Diceros bicornis minor: one gene and its partners. The protein of the gene in region 2 interacts with the protein of the main gene of each other region in a biochemical or structural test. Links are inferred from orthologs where the notes say so. Each region holds a gene or a part of one and is shown on either strand. Other genes may lie near its edges. The genes, in order: tripartite motif-containing protein 5-like, UBE2N and HLTF.

The links.
Region 1: the proteins of UBE2N (region 2) and tripartite motif-containing protein 5-like form a complex in vitro, tested with the Homo sapiens proteins (2 studies listed by BioGRID, with this or other methods). The link is inferred for Diceros bicornis minor from reciprocal best matches to the Homo sapiens genes UBE2N and TRIM5.
Region 3: the proteins of UBE2N (region 2) and HLTF form a complex in vitro, tested with the Homo sapiens proteins (2 studies listed by BioGRID, with this or other methods). The link is inferred for Diceros bicornis minor from reciprocal best matches to the Homo sapiens genes UBE2N and HLTF.

What each region holds. Positions count from the first base shown.
Region 1 is NC_080746.1:62,437,094-62,440,841, forward strand, and holds the start of tripartite motif-containing protein 5-like, read left to right. Parts: upstream 1-1,121; 5' UTR 1,122-1,373; intron 1,374-3,748.
Region 2 is NC_080764.1:28,473,792-28,477,539, forward strand, and holds the start of UBE2N (ubiquitin-conjugating enzyme E2 N), read left to right. Parts: upstream 1-792; 5' UTR 793-1,195; coding exon 1,196-1,225; intron 1,226-3,748. UniProt on the Homo sapiens protein: The UBE2V1-UBE2N and UBE2V2-UBE2N heterodimers catalyze the synthesis of non-canonical 'Lys-63'-linked polyubiquitin chains. This type of polyubiquitination does not lead to protein degradation by the proteasome.
Region 3 is NC_080741.1:5,870,247-5,873,994, forward strand, and holds the start of HLTF (helicase-like transcription factor), read left to right. Parts: upstream 1-1,251; 5' UTR 1,252-1,289; coding exon 1,290-1,312; intron 1,313-2,366; coding exon 2,367-2,574; intron 2,575-3,748. UniProt on the Homo sapiens protein: Has both helicase and E3 ubiquitin ligase activities. Possesses intrinsic ATP-dependent nucleosome-remodeling activity; This activity may be required for transcriptional activation or repression of specific target promoters.

The DNA of each region.
Region 1 (3,748 bases), on a different chromosome or scaffold from region 2:
TTATATGACCAGATCTTACTGGCATAAGGTTGACTTTGAGCATTACCACTCCTATAACATCCTCCTTGTACCCTTAACTCCCCCAAGTCTTTTTTAGGCATACATCTTTTGAAATAGTGCAGTTCGTCTGTGTCATTATCATTACCACTATCAGAGTTCATCTGTGCCACTTAACACAGGGTTTTAGAATTGTTTCATTACTATATTAATCAGGATTCTTGAGAGAAACAGAACCAATATGATATATATATATGTATAGGCTCAAGTGACTATGGAGGCTGAGAACTTCCAGGATCTGCCATCTGCAAGCTGGAGACCCAGAAGAGCAAATGGTTTAATCAGTGGGGACTGTAATCAGTAGGGACTGATATGAAGGCTTGAGAACCAGGGCATCCAATGATGCTAGTCCTAGTCCAAGAGCAGGAGAAGACCTATGCCTCAGCTCAAAGAGGCAAGCAGGAAGCAAAAGGGGCAGATTCACTCTTCCTCCCCCTTTTTTTTTATCCAGGCCCACAAGGGGTTGGAGGATGACCACCCACATTGGGGAGAACAATATAGTTTACTGAGTACACAGATTTAAATGCTAACCTGGAAATAACACCCTCTTAGACACATCCAGAGGTAATGTTTGATCTGGGCACCTTCTGAACACTCAAGTTGTCATGTAAAATTCGTCATCACAATTATTTTCCTGCATTATTTTTATTATGCTAACATATAGACATTATATTTTAAATAGTATTAGATTACATTACCCAACAAATGACACTTCATACAGTTTCATCTTCCCAGTCTATTTAGGAAAAGTCTCATTTTGGCCATACTGAATCCAGATTCTAAAAGTCAGTATCACTGTGTTTCCACTGGGATAGCCTGTCTGAGTGACCACCTGAGATAATTTCAGATTTGGATAGCCATTCCCTCTCACATGACCTGATAGGTCCAATAGCTGGTGGATGCAGGACAGGAGAGTATGCAGGTATGGCTGTTTCAGGTGAGCTTTCAGATGGGTTCTCACTGATGTAAGGGGGTTACTTCATTCTCTCCTTGTGACAACTCATTTGCAAGTAAACAAGACAAGGTGGATGTGTGTATAATTCCATTGCCTAGGTAAGCCTTGTGCTCCAAAAGATGAATTACCTTAAAAGCCATGAAACAGCTTCCAGGACCAGAACTGACGTACGGATAAAAATGTAGTCACTGGCCCATCTGGCCCAGGCACAAAAGTCTTGTCATTTCCCAGGGGCTTGAGGTAGAAGCCTCCCATTGGTCCATAGATTCTCTTCTTCTTTTCTGCCGTCCCCCAAGAATTTAACTTTCATTTTCACTTGGCTCCTCTCCATCTTCTTCGTGCAGCTCAGGCCCCTGGTTTGGTAAGTAAATCCTGACCACCTCTGTACCTGGCCTGGCTTCCTCTTCTGAAAAGTGGCACAACTACTACATTGCTGTCTGAAGGTCAGTTGAGTAGTTTGTAGATGGTAGGGATTGGGAGACTTCAGAGGAAAAAATTGAATTTGCTTGAGTGAGTTTAATTTGTCTTCAGGAAGCTGTTCTGAAGGCGGAAAAAGGCCCAATTTGCAGGCTTCCCACTGAGAGTGCTGACTGAAGTGCAGTCTGGGGGAGGGCTGGTCTCTAAAGAAGAGAGAGTTGATGAAGTAAAAGGCTTTATTTGTTTCATGGAGGGACAATTGTTTCTCCAATCTGAATTTACCCACATCTACAGAGTCTATAATTTTGAATTGTACCTTGTTGAACAGGCAGACTCCTAGAGTTTTCAGAGGTAGAAAGTCCCTTTCCCCAACAACAGGAGCAAAGGCAAAGGGATCTTTAAATCGTAATAGTTTAATGCCTTAAGTGTAACAATCTACTATTTCTGTATGACTCTGTAGATAAATTCTCATCCCTTGGCCTGTCTGTGCTCAGGAGACTTGATGGGGTGACAGCTGCCAAGCTCTGCAGCCTGTATTTCACTTGTCCAGACACAGGAAATTGCTACAATTCCTTAAAATCACTAACCTTGCTCATCCATCACCTTGGGCTGTATCTGCCACCCAGAAACAGAGCTCAGCTTGAGAGATCAGGAGCAAGAGGAACATGTAGGAAGAATTTGCAAATGTGCTATCTTTGCTCACTTCGATAAACAAAATGAGTTACTTGATTATTGTTAATGATATAAAAAGATGTCACAAAAAGTAGCATGATAACAGGATCCTGAGAAACAGGAAGGAAGGAAGTAAAAGTGAGTCTCTGTGCTTACTGCCCCTTCCTAAAGAACGTACAGCTGCACTCACCTTGCTCAGGCATGTGGAAGACACCAGTCAAATCTCTTTTCTCACCCTGACTTCCCCTCACGTGAAATACTCGTACTTTATCAGAGTTGGCTTTGGAGACTGTCACCTCTGCTACATATTCTTGTCTTCCTCTCAGGCATAAGTCAGTGTTAGGCACCTGTCTTCTGAACTCATACAGTACACCTCTGTCATGCCAGTTATTGCAGGGATTTAGAATTGATTTGTTACTTTTATGCTTCAGTTTTTATTTTGGTAGTATTATAAAGAGTTTATATTAAATAGTATTAGATGGTTACCTGCAATAAAAACATAGCCGAATTTCTTTTTTCCATTCTATTTAGGAAAAGTGACTCTTTCCCATATAACATTGGTAAATTAGGGCTTCATCATGTTTAGAGAAATAGTTTTATTCCAATCACAAAAGAAGAAAGTTATGCTATATCCTTATCGTTAGACCGTTTACATAGCTATTGTCTTTTAATGTGTTTTTTGCTTGTCTTTAGCTGTCACCTCTGGGATGTTTCGGATTTTTATTCTCATGAGCTCAGATGTCAGAAGACAAATGTGTAAGGTGCAATCACCTGACACCTATGGCAGCCAACTGACCTGGGAGTTCTATCAGACTCACAGCTCATGTTCCCATATCTATCTCCCTCATTGCTGTGGAGCCCTTGGGTCACTGCTTAGGTAGAGGTGAGATCATCCTCCATGGGCGAGGATTCTAGCTCCTCTGTATATTGCCATTCTGTGTCGATTGTGGCAGCAGGTGCTTTGACATTAGCTCCTTGTAGCCCCACTGTGAAAATAAATTCCATAACACCTTGGCATAAACCATGCTCTGCTCCTCCCTCCTCTATGGGTTCTTGAGGCATCTCAGCTTTGGTTGGATCTTGAATGGGATGAGAAATAATTGGAGGCCCCACGCCCATGTTTGGATAGCTTGAGTCAGAAACATGGGTAGACGTTATCATATAATGTCTACATTTGGTATAATATCCACCTTTGATCTTGCTATTCATAATGGCCTGATCTGGGCCATAGTCTCTGCGGCCAGATGCCAACTGCATATGACCTCTGGGCTTTTTTTAGTATCTGTACTATTAGCTGGATTATACTTTCGGTTCACCTTCAGCCTTGTTATTTATCAGGTTTCCTTCAGGTATGATGAGCATGACACAAGTAGACACTTTTAGTGGGTCTAAATTTTTCTCCATGCAGTCTTTATAGCTTTTCCCTCCCTTTTTCTGGACAAAGGGAAAACTTACTGGTTGTCTCATAGTGACCCTTCTCTTATCATCAAACTTTAGCAACTGTCAAGACATTAATAACTACTGAGACCCTCTCTTTCTTTGTTTATTGCTGCATAGCTCCATTTGCCTGGAGCTGCTGATAGAACTCCTGAATGTAGACGGTGGCCACAGGGTCATATTGAGCCCAGGTTGGGAAATAAGCATCAC
Region 2 (3,748 bases):
CTCTGAGTTCCTGGAAAGCAGGGTCAGCCTCTTTGTATTCTCATCCCCTAATACAGCATCTGGCACATCTTCATTCACCATCTACTGTCTGTGCTACTGTGTTTGGAAACACTGTGCTTAAGTAGTTAAGGGGTCCATGTTTTGGGAGACCTGCCCGAGGACAAAACAGCTCCACCTCCTGCATAACCTTGAAACAAGTTAGCGTCTCTGAGCCTCATTTGTAAAGGCGGAGGCAACACCTTCTTAAGATTGCTGTGAAGATGAAGTAAAATAGTAACTGCAGTGAGCCCATCACACAGCAAGCAATCAATCACCAGGATGTCACGAAATGCTTCCCCAAATCCTATTTTCGGGCATCCCCACTCTAATCTTCCTTTAGGGCCCCGCGCTCTGTGGGTTATCCCTCTTTCCCGGATTACTCTGGGCTCTCCAATCCTCTCCTTGGTCATTCCTCCAGCTAAGGACTCTGCCGTTTCAACCACTGAGTCCAGAAGCCATTCTTCTTCCCCGCCCCCAACTCTCCAAGCTCTTTTCTTTTAGCCTTTCCCGGGCCTAAGGGGTGTGTCAGAGGCTTGATTTTTCCGAAATTTGAAGATCAAAACTCTCTGGCTAGGGTTTTCCCTGGCTAACTTTCGAGACCCACAGGAGCTTTGCTACCGAGTTTCGGTCTTCTCCTCTCTTTGAGTCAGGAGCCAGCGGATCAACTTGACCGCAGTCGTTCCCTGCAGCACCAGCTCCGACCGCGCGCAATGCAGGAACGTTGAATGAATGAACGATCGCACTAACGAAGGAATGGGCTACGTCGGCGGCCGGGCCTCTGTTACGTCGCCCACCGGCGCGGGCGTGGCCGTGGATAAGAAGTCTGAGGGGCGCCGGCAGCCCAGTCCCACCATCGCGCGGCCCGCTCGGCCAAGACCGGCGGAGCCCCGCGCCACCTCCCCCAAGTCCCTGCCCCGCCGCGGCGCGTCACTTCCGCCCCCTCGGGCCGGGGCTGGGGCGGGGAGCGCGGGGGAGGGGGCCAGGTCCGAGGGAAGCCCGCCCGAGCCGGGACTACATTTCCCGAGGGGCCTGGGCGGCGGCGGCGGCGGCGGCGGGCGCGGCAACGTCCCCCGGAAGTGGAGCCCGGGACTTCCACTCGTGCGTGAGGCGAGCGGAGCGGAGACAAGACCAGAGGCCGAACTCGGGATCTGACAAGATGGCCGGGCTGCCCCGCAGGATCATCAAGGTAACCGCCCAGGCCGGCCTCCGGCTGCCCGCTCTGCTCGTGCGCTCTCGGCAGACCGGGCGGCGCAGCCCCTCGCTGCCTGCGGCCCGCGGCCCGCGCTGGGAGGCCCGAGGCAGCGCGGAGAGGGTCTGGCCGCGGCGGCGAGGGAAGTCGGGCGCTGGGGAGGGGGCGCCGGGGAGACTTCCGGCCGCGGTGGGGCAGCCCGGCGGCGGGGACCCGGGGCTTCCAGGCGGCTGCCCCGCGAGCAGGGAAGGCCTGGCCTGCGCTCTGGCGGAGGGTGGGGCCGGGGTTGCGGGGCTCCGGTCTTGGGCGCGGGCCGGCGCGGGCCTCGGCGGCCTCTCAGACCACCCCCGGGCGGAGGCCGCGGGCGCGCGGGAATCGTGGCGGGGCCCCGACTCGGGGTGGGGGTTGTGGCCCGGCACGGCCCCTCGGCCCCGGAGCCCCCTCTCGGCCCGAGCGGGAGCGCGGGGATGCGGCAGCCCCGCGTTCAGAATGAATGAACCGGGCGAGTGAGGCCGGGCGGGGCCCTGTGCCCCGGGAGGCGGCTCCGGGAGGGCCGCGCGTCCTGCCGCCGTCGACACATGCGGGTCCGGGGATGTGGGGGCTCCGCGCCCCGCTGCCCTCGCTTCCGCGAGCTCGTTTCCTTAGATACGTTTCCGCTCGTTATCTCCGCGAAGTGATTTTACTCTGGTTGGTAGACTGGTTCAGAGCTCCTGTTCAGAGCAAATAGTTTAACACAAGACCGGGGGTGGGGGTGAGGGCGCAGGTATGGGAGACCCTGTGAAATCTTTTGCCTCTCGATTTTGTGCGCTTTAACCATTACATATAGAATCATGAAAAATGTGACATCTTTATTTTGTGAATTCTTTACATAATATCGAGTCCTCCGATGTGAAATGTTTCTTGCAATACTCAAAAACAAAGCTTTGAAGTTTTTTGTCAATTTTAGTGAAGGAAATCAGTTGAACTCTGTGTCCCTCAATATGCGAGTTCAAGTGACTAAATTGCAGCATCATTTTGCTGGATATAATGTGTTGAGCGTATATTTAATCTAGTTTGTTCTTCTAAAGTTTGGGGGGAGGTGCATACTCAGTGAAAACCTGTTGAAGGCTGATGTATTGTGTATTGTTTCGTGCAGTTGTAGGTAAATATGTGTGAGATGGAGGTGTCTCTGCCTTAAGGTGCTTGATTTAGAGAAATAAGACCATTTGTAAGATGGATATTCTTAGAAATTAGAGAAGTAGAACAGATTGTCATTGGGTGCTGGAGTCTAATGTGGTTCTTCATAGTGCCAAATTTGTTATATTAGTGGATTTATCTCGGACTCTGGCCAAGGCAGTTTAATTGCTGTATGCATTGGAAGATCCTTAAAATGTGGTTTTAGTTATAATGCAGTTACGTGGCCCTAATGGTCATGTTTATCGAGGCCCCAGTTGAAACTGAGGGGTGGAGGATAGAGCTGTATGCCAGATATTCTCTTAATTTTTATTGACTTCTAGTCAGGTGATTGACTAAGTACATAACACAAATTGACATTCAAGATAATTCTCCAAAATACATAATGAACTAAAGATTTAAGATGAATTTTTCCATTTTTGCTTGATTTTGGAGATATTCTGCAGTAATATGAAAGCCTTGAATAGAAAAATAAATTCTGTGGGATCTTGTTTTTATAAACTTACAGAAATTAAGGCAATAAGTTGTTCTTATAATTCAGTTCATTTGGCACACAATAGTTTAGTTTACACTAGGCATTTGCATCTTACTATTTAAACCAAGACAGTGATAACTCATATATAATCTTAATTTTACAGTATTTTGTTGATAGCATCTCTCTAATGAAAGATGCCTTGATTTGGGTTTTATCTTGTAAAAGTTAGGTGGTTTTACTGTAATACCATTTATAGAACTGTTTTCTCCAATCCCTAGGAAGGATTAAAAGATTATACTGTTTTTTCTAGTGCCCCTGTTATATTATGTAGGTTTTTCCATAATCAGTGAAAATGTTTATTTTTTGTGTCAGAATTTTTAAAAAAAGGTTGGGTCTTCTCTGTCAACCACTATTACAGGGTCCTATGTGGAATATAGTTGTGGTGGTGGTGGTATGGTAGCTCTACTGTCCAGAATGATAGGAATACACCATACCATCAATGGACAACTATTAACATGATGCTGGCCACCTCAAAATGGTTACTATTTACATTTGCAGAGTTCTTGAGCCACTTGATACCTGCAGTAATCTTGTGAAGTAGACAATACATTTACAGTCTGGAAACACATTCAAACAACTTTCCTAGGGTCTTGAAGCTGGCAAGAGGCAGAACTTGGATGTTAACTCAGAGTGACCTTCTCCTGCCTCTTGTTATTATGAAATGACATAATGTATGTAAAAGTACCTTGACAATTGTAAATGACTATTCAAATATAAGGTGATTTTTTTGAATTCACCCCGTTGCTGTCCCACTCAGATTTTTATTTCCAGTCCAGTAGCAAATTCTCTAGGCTCTACTTTCGAAGTATATG
Region 3 (3,748 bases), on a different chromosome or scaffold from region 2:
CTGTCTTCACCTTCGTCACCACCTCCTTCTGTCTAGTGCAATGAAGTAACAAATTGCTGCGGATTCGATTTCGCATCCCGCTGCGGGTCCACGCGTACAGATCACGGCAGCTGAAGAGGAGGAACAGACGCCTCTCGAAACCCTGTTGCACTGCGCACCTCGCACTGCCGCCGGGAGTGGAAATGGGCCGCTCCGCCCCGGGCACGTGTCAGCGTCGCTCACAGCCACGGCCGCCCTTGCTCTGGGACGCGCCCGTCTCCGGGGACCGCTCCGCGTGCTCCCCGGCGCCGCCGCCGCGCCGGGCACGGCCGCTCAGTCGGCAGCCGCCCCTTCCCGGCTCCCGGGCCGCACGGACGGCCGTGGCCGACCGACGCCAGCCGAGCGCTGCTCCCCTCCTCAGACCCTCAGAGGCCGGCCGCGGAGGCCTGGGCGCCCGGGCGGCCCCTGAGGGCAGCACGTGCCGGGGCAGCGCTCCCCAGCAGCGTTAGTGCGCTGGCGTCGCAGTTTGCGGCTTCGCTAGAAATGAAAAATTTCCTTGAAAAAAAGAGGGCGGGGGGACTCCATAAATCTGAACGCCAAGGAAGCTCCTCTGAACTCGGTGTGTCTCGTGGATTCGCTGGCGAAAATGAGTATTTTGACGCCAGCTGCCCGGGTTCACCACAGGAAATGAAGGTGGTAGCTGCGGGCTCGCAAGCCAGCGGAAGACCCTATCACATGTCACATCAGATGAGGAGAAAATTAGAGGCGAGCTGAGGTAGGGCTGAAGAACGAGGCTGAGGCTTGGGGCTCGGCGGAAGCAGCCGACAGGAGAGTCGTCTCCCTCTGTTTGAGGCAGGGACTCGCACAGAACACGCAGACCCGCGGGCGCAGCGGTCGCACTCCCGCACTCCCGCGCCTTTCCCGCGCGCCCATCTTGGGGGCGGGGAAGAACCCGGATGGAACCGCCGGTGCAGCCGGGACCCCCCACGGTCTTTGAATCTGTGCGCGGGGCGTAGTTGCCCTCCGTTCCGTGCTCTGATTGGTTCGTCTCCGTAGGTTCCCTTCTCGCGATTGGACGTCCCCCGTGCCAGTCACAAAGCGCCGCTGGGCTCCCAGATTGTTGCTGGAAGGAGACGGCGTCGACGTCTGACTGGGCTCGCGGCGTCTCGCCTCCCGCTAGCTCGTCCATCCTCCGGCGCCCCAAACCGGTCCTCGGCTTCTCGCCCGCTAGGCCCGGAAGGAGGCGTGTCGAGGCGGCTCGAGAACGATCGCGGGCGCCCCGGCGTTGCCCTCGTCACCCACGCAGCGCCATGTCCTCCTGGATGTTCAAGAGGTGAAGGGGGCGGGGTGGGGCGCCGAGGGTAACGGCCCGGCGGCGTCCCCACATGAACCTGACCTTCCCCGCGTTCGCTCCGCGGCCCGGTGCTGCTGGGGCTCGCAGCCGCGGGAGCGAGAGCAGCCGAGTGTGGGCTGGCGAGGGGAGGCTCCTCGGCGGCCGGTGCGGGGCCGTGGGGAGGTCAGTCAGGGGCGGGGCCTGGGCCCCTCAGCCGCGTCTCCACCTGCGCCTTATGCGACGAGCGGCCGGCGGATGCCCGTGCGCTGGGCGCTGGCCCGGTAGAGGGCCGGGGGCGGGCCCCTTCCCCGCTGGCGGCCGGTCGTGCGCGCGCTCGGACGTGCGGGGGGGTGTTTGCGGAGGAGTCGGAGAGGGGCGCGCGACGGGGCGGAACAGCTTCTCTCGGTTCCGAGGCGGCGGAAGCGACCCCGGACTCTTCGGGGTCCAGGTTGGCTCGCCTGCCCGTTCCTGAGACCGTTGTCCGCAGCGGGATTGCGGTTCCCCTTAAACGGGCGCGGGTGGGGGGCTTGGGGCCGACTTCGCTCGGTGCGGTGGTGGGATGCGTGAGTGGAACGACCGTGCTGCTCGGAGGGAATCGCCGCCGTGGGTGCTGGCTGTGTCGTCAGCAGGGACGGGCTCGGCTGCAGGTGTGAAAGTGGTCCTGCATTTGCAAGTCTCTTCTCGCGCAGCCCCTCATGACGTTTTGGCGTGTAACTGAAGTTGCAGACGTCGCGTACGTCTCAGCTTCGGTAGACGATCGTCGCTAGGAGAGAGACTTGGGAACCCTTGCTGGGGTTCTCGTTTTGAATCCCCGTGGGTGGAGAGGCGTCGCTGAACGGGTGGGGCTACTGGAAACCCTCCGCTCGCTCCAGTTCCCGCTTTCACCGGGATAACTCGCTGTAAGTCTCGATGCAGCGGTTCCCACGTAAGGTGTAATTTGTTGACATAAAGTGTGGTAAGATAATTGGCCGATAAATATGGTATGGTCTTTGAGAAAAATTTGGTTAAATATTGTGTTATTTTAGTGTGTCCTTTTTTTTTTTTTTTTTGACAGAGATCCTGTTTGGAAGTACTTGCAGACTGTCCAATATGGAGTCCCCGGAAATTTTCCACGCCTGTCATATCCAACTTTCTTTCCCCGTTTTGAATTCCAAGATATTATTCCTCCAGATGACTTCCTGACTAGTGATGAAGAGCTCGATTCAGTTTTATTTGGAACTCTGCGAGGTCATGTAGTTGGACTACGCTATTACACAGGAGTAGTGAGTATGACATTAGATGTTAAGTTAAAATGTGATGTGTTTATGATATTAGCCTAGAAAATAAGAATTAGAAGATGACATGTGCAGTTAATATTTATTTTACTTTAAGTAATTGAGATACATCTGGGCAAGAGGAAACAGACACCTAATGATTGATATTCTTTTATGTTTACATCATGCTTACAATATGCAAAGCACTTTTTCCTGTATGGTCTCATTAGATCACTGCAGTGACTCTGAGGTAGATTAGGACGTCTTCTATCCCCCTCCTGTACCTGAAGAACTAAAGCTCAGGCGGGTTAAATAATTTGCCCAGAAAGCACAGAGACTGGTACATTTGCAAAATAACTTCCAAGTCAGTCTGTTGCTTTCTCCTCTTCTACCCCTCAGCACATTTCTACACTTTAGTATTTTTAATTTAGGAGGTCAACTCCTATTAGATAAGAGAATTGTCTATTTTTAGGTCCTTTTTTCTTTCTGTAGTAAGACTACCTGTCTTGCAGTTTTTCTTCCTATCTTTCTCTATGTATATTCTCTGCGGTGTGTGTGTGTGCATGAGAGAGACCTAGAGACTGAGAGACCTGATCAATAGTTGTCTTTGTATAGTTGTCTAGTATGCCTCTGTGTATCTGGATCATATACCTCTAGTTTTATTTTTTTAATTTATTATGAAAAATTTCAAACATACATGAGTAGAATAATACAGTAAACTCCCATATACCTATGATCCAGATTCAGCAGTTAAGTTTTTGTGCGTTTGCTTCATCACTTTTTCTTTTGTTCTAAAAATCCTGACCGTATCACTCTATACCCATGTAATTCAGTTTGTATCTCTAAAAAATTTCAAACATTTTTACGTGTAATTTTCATACTAAAAATTAGTAATAATTCCTTGTTACATCTAATAGCTAATCCATAATCAGTTTTCTTGATTGTTTAAAAATATCTTTTTATAGTTCATTTTTTTTCGAATCAGGATCAAAAGAGAGTTCATGTATTACCTTTAGTTGTTACATCCCACAAGTCACCCGCTCCCCTGCTTGTTTCATGTCATTGATTTGTTGCAGAAACTACATCTGTTGTTTGATGGGAAGTTCTGGATTTGTCAGTTCTTCCATTCCCCCATATTATTCTCATGTTGAAGCTTTCTCAAATCATGTTTTGGTTGTCTGAA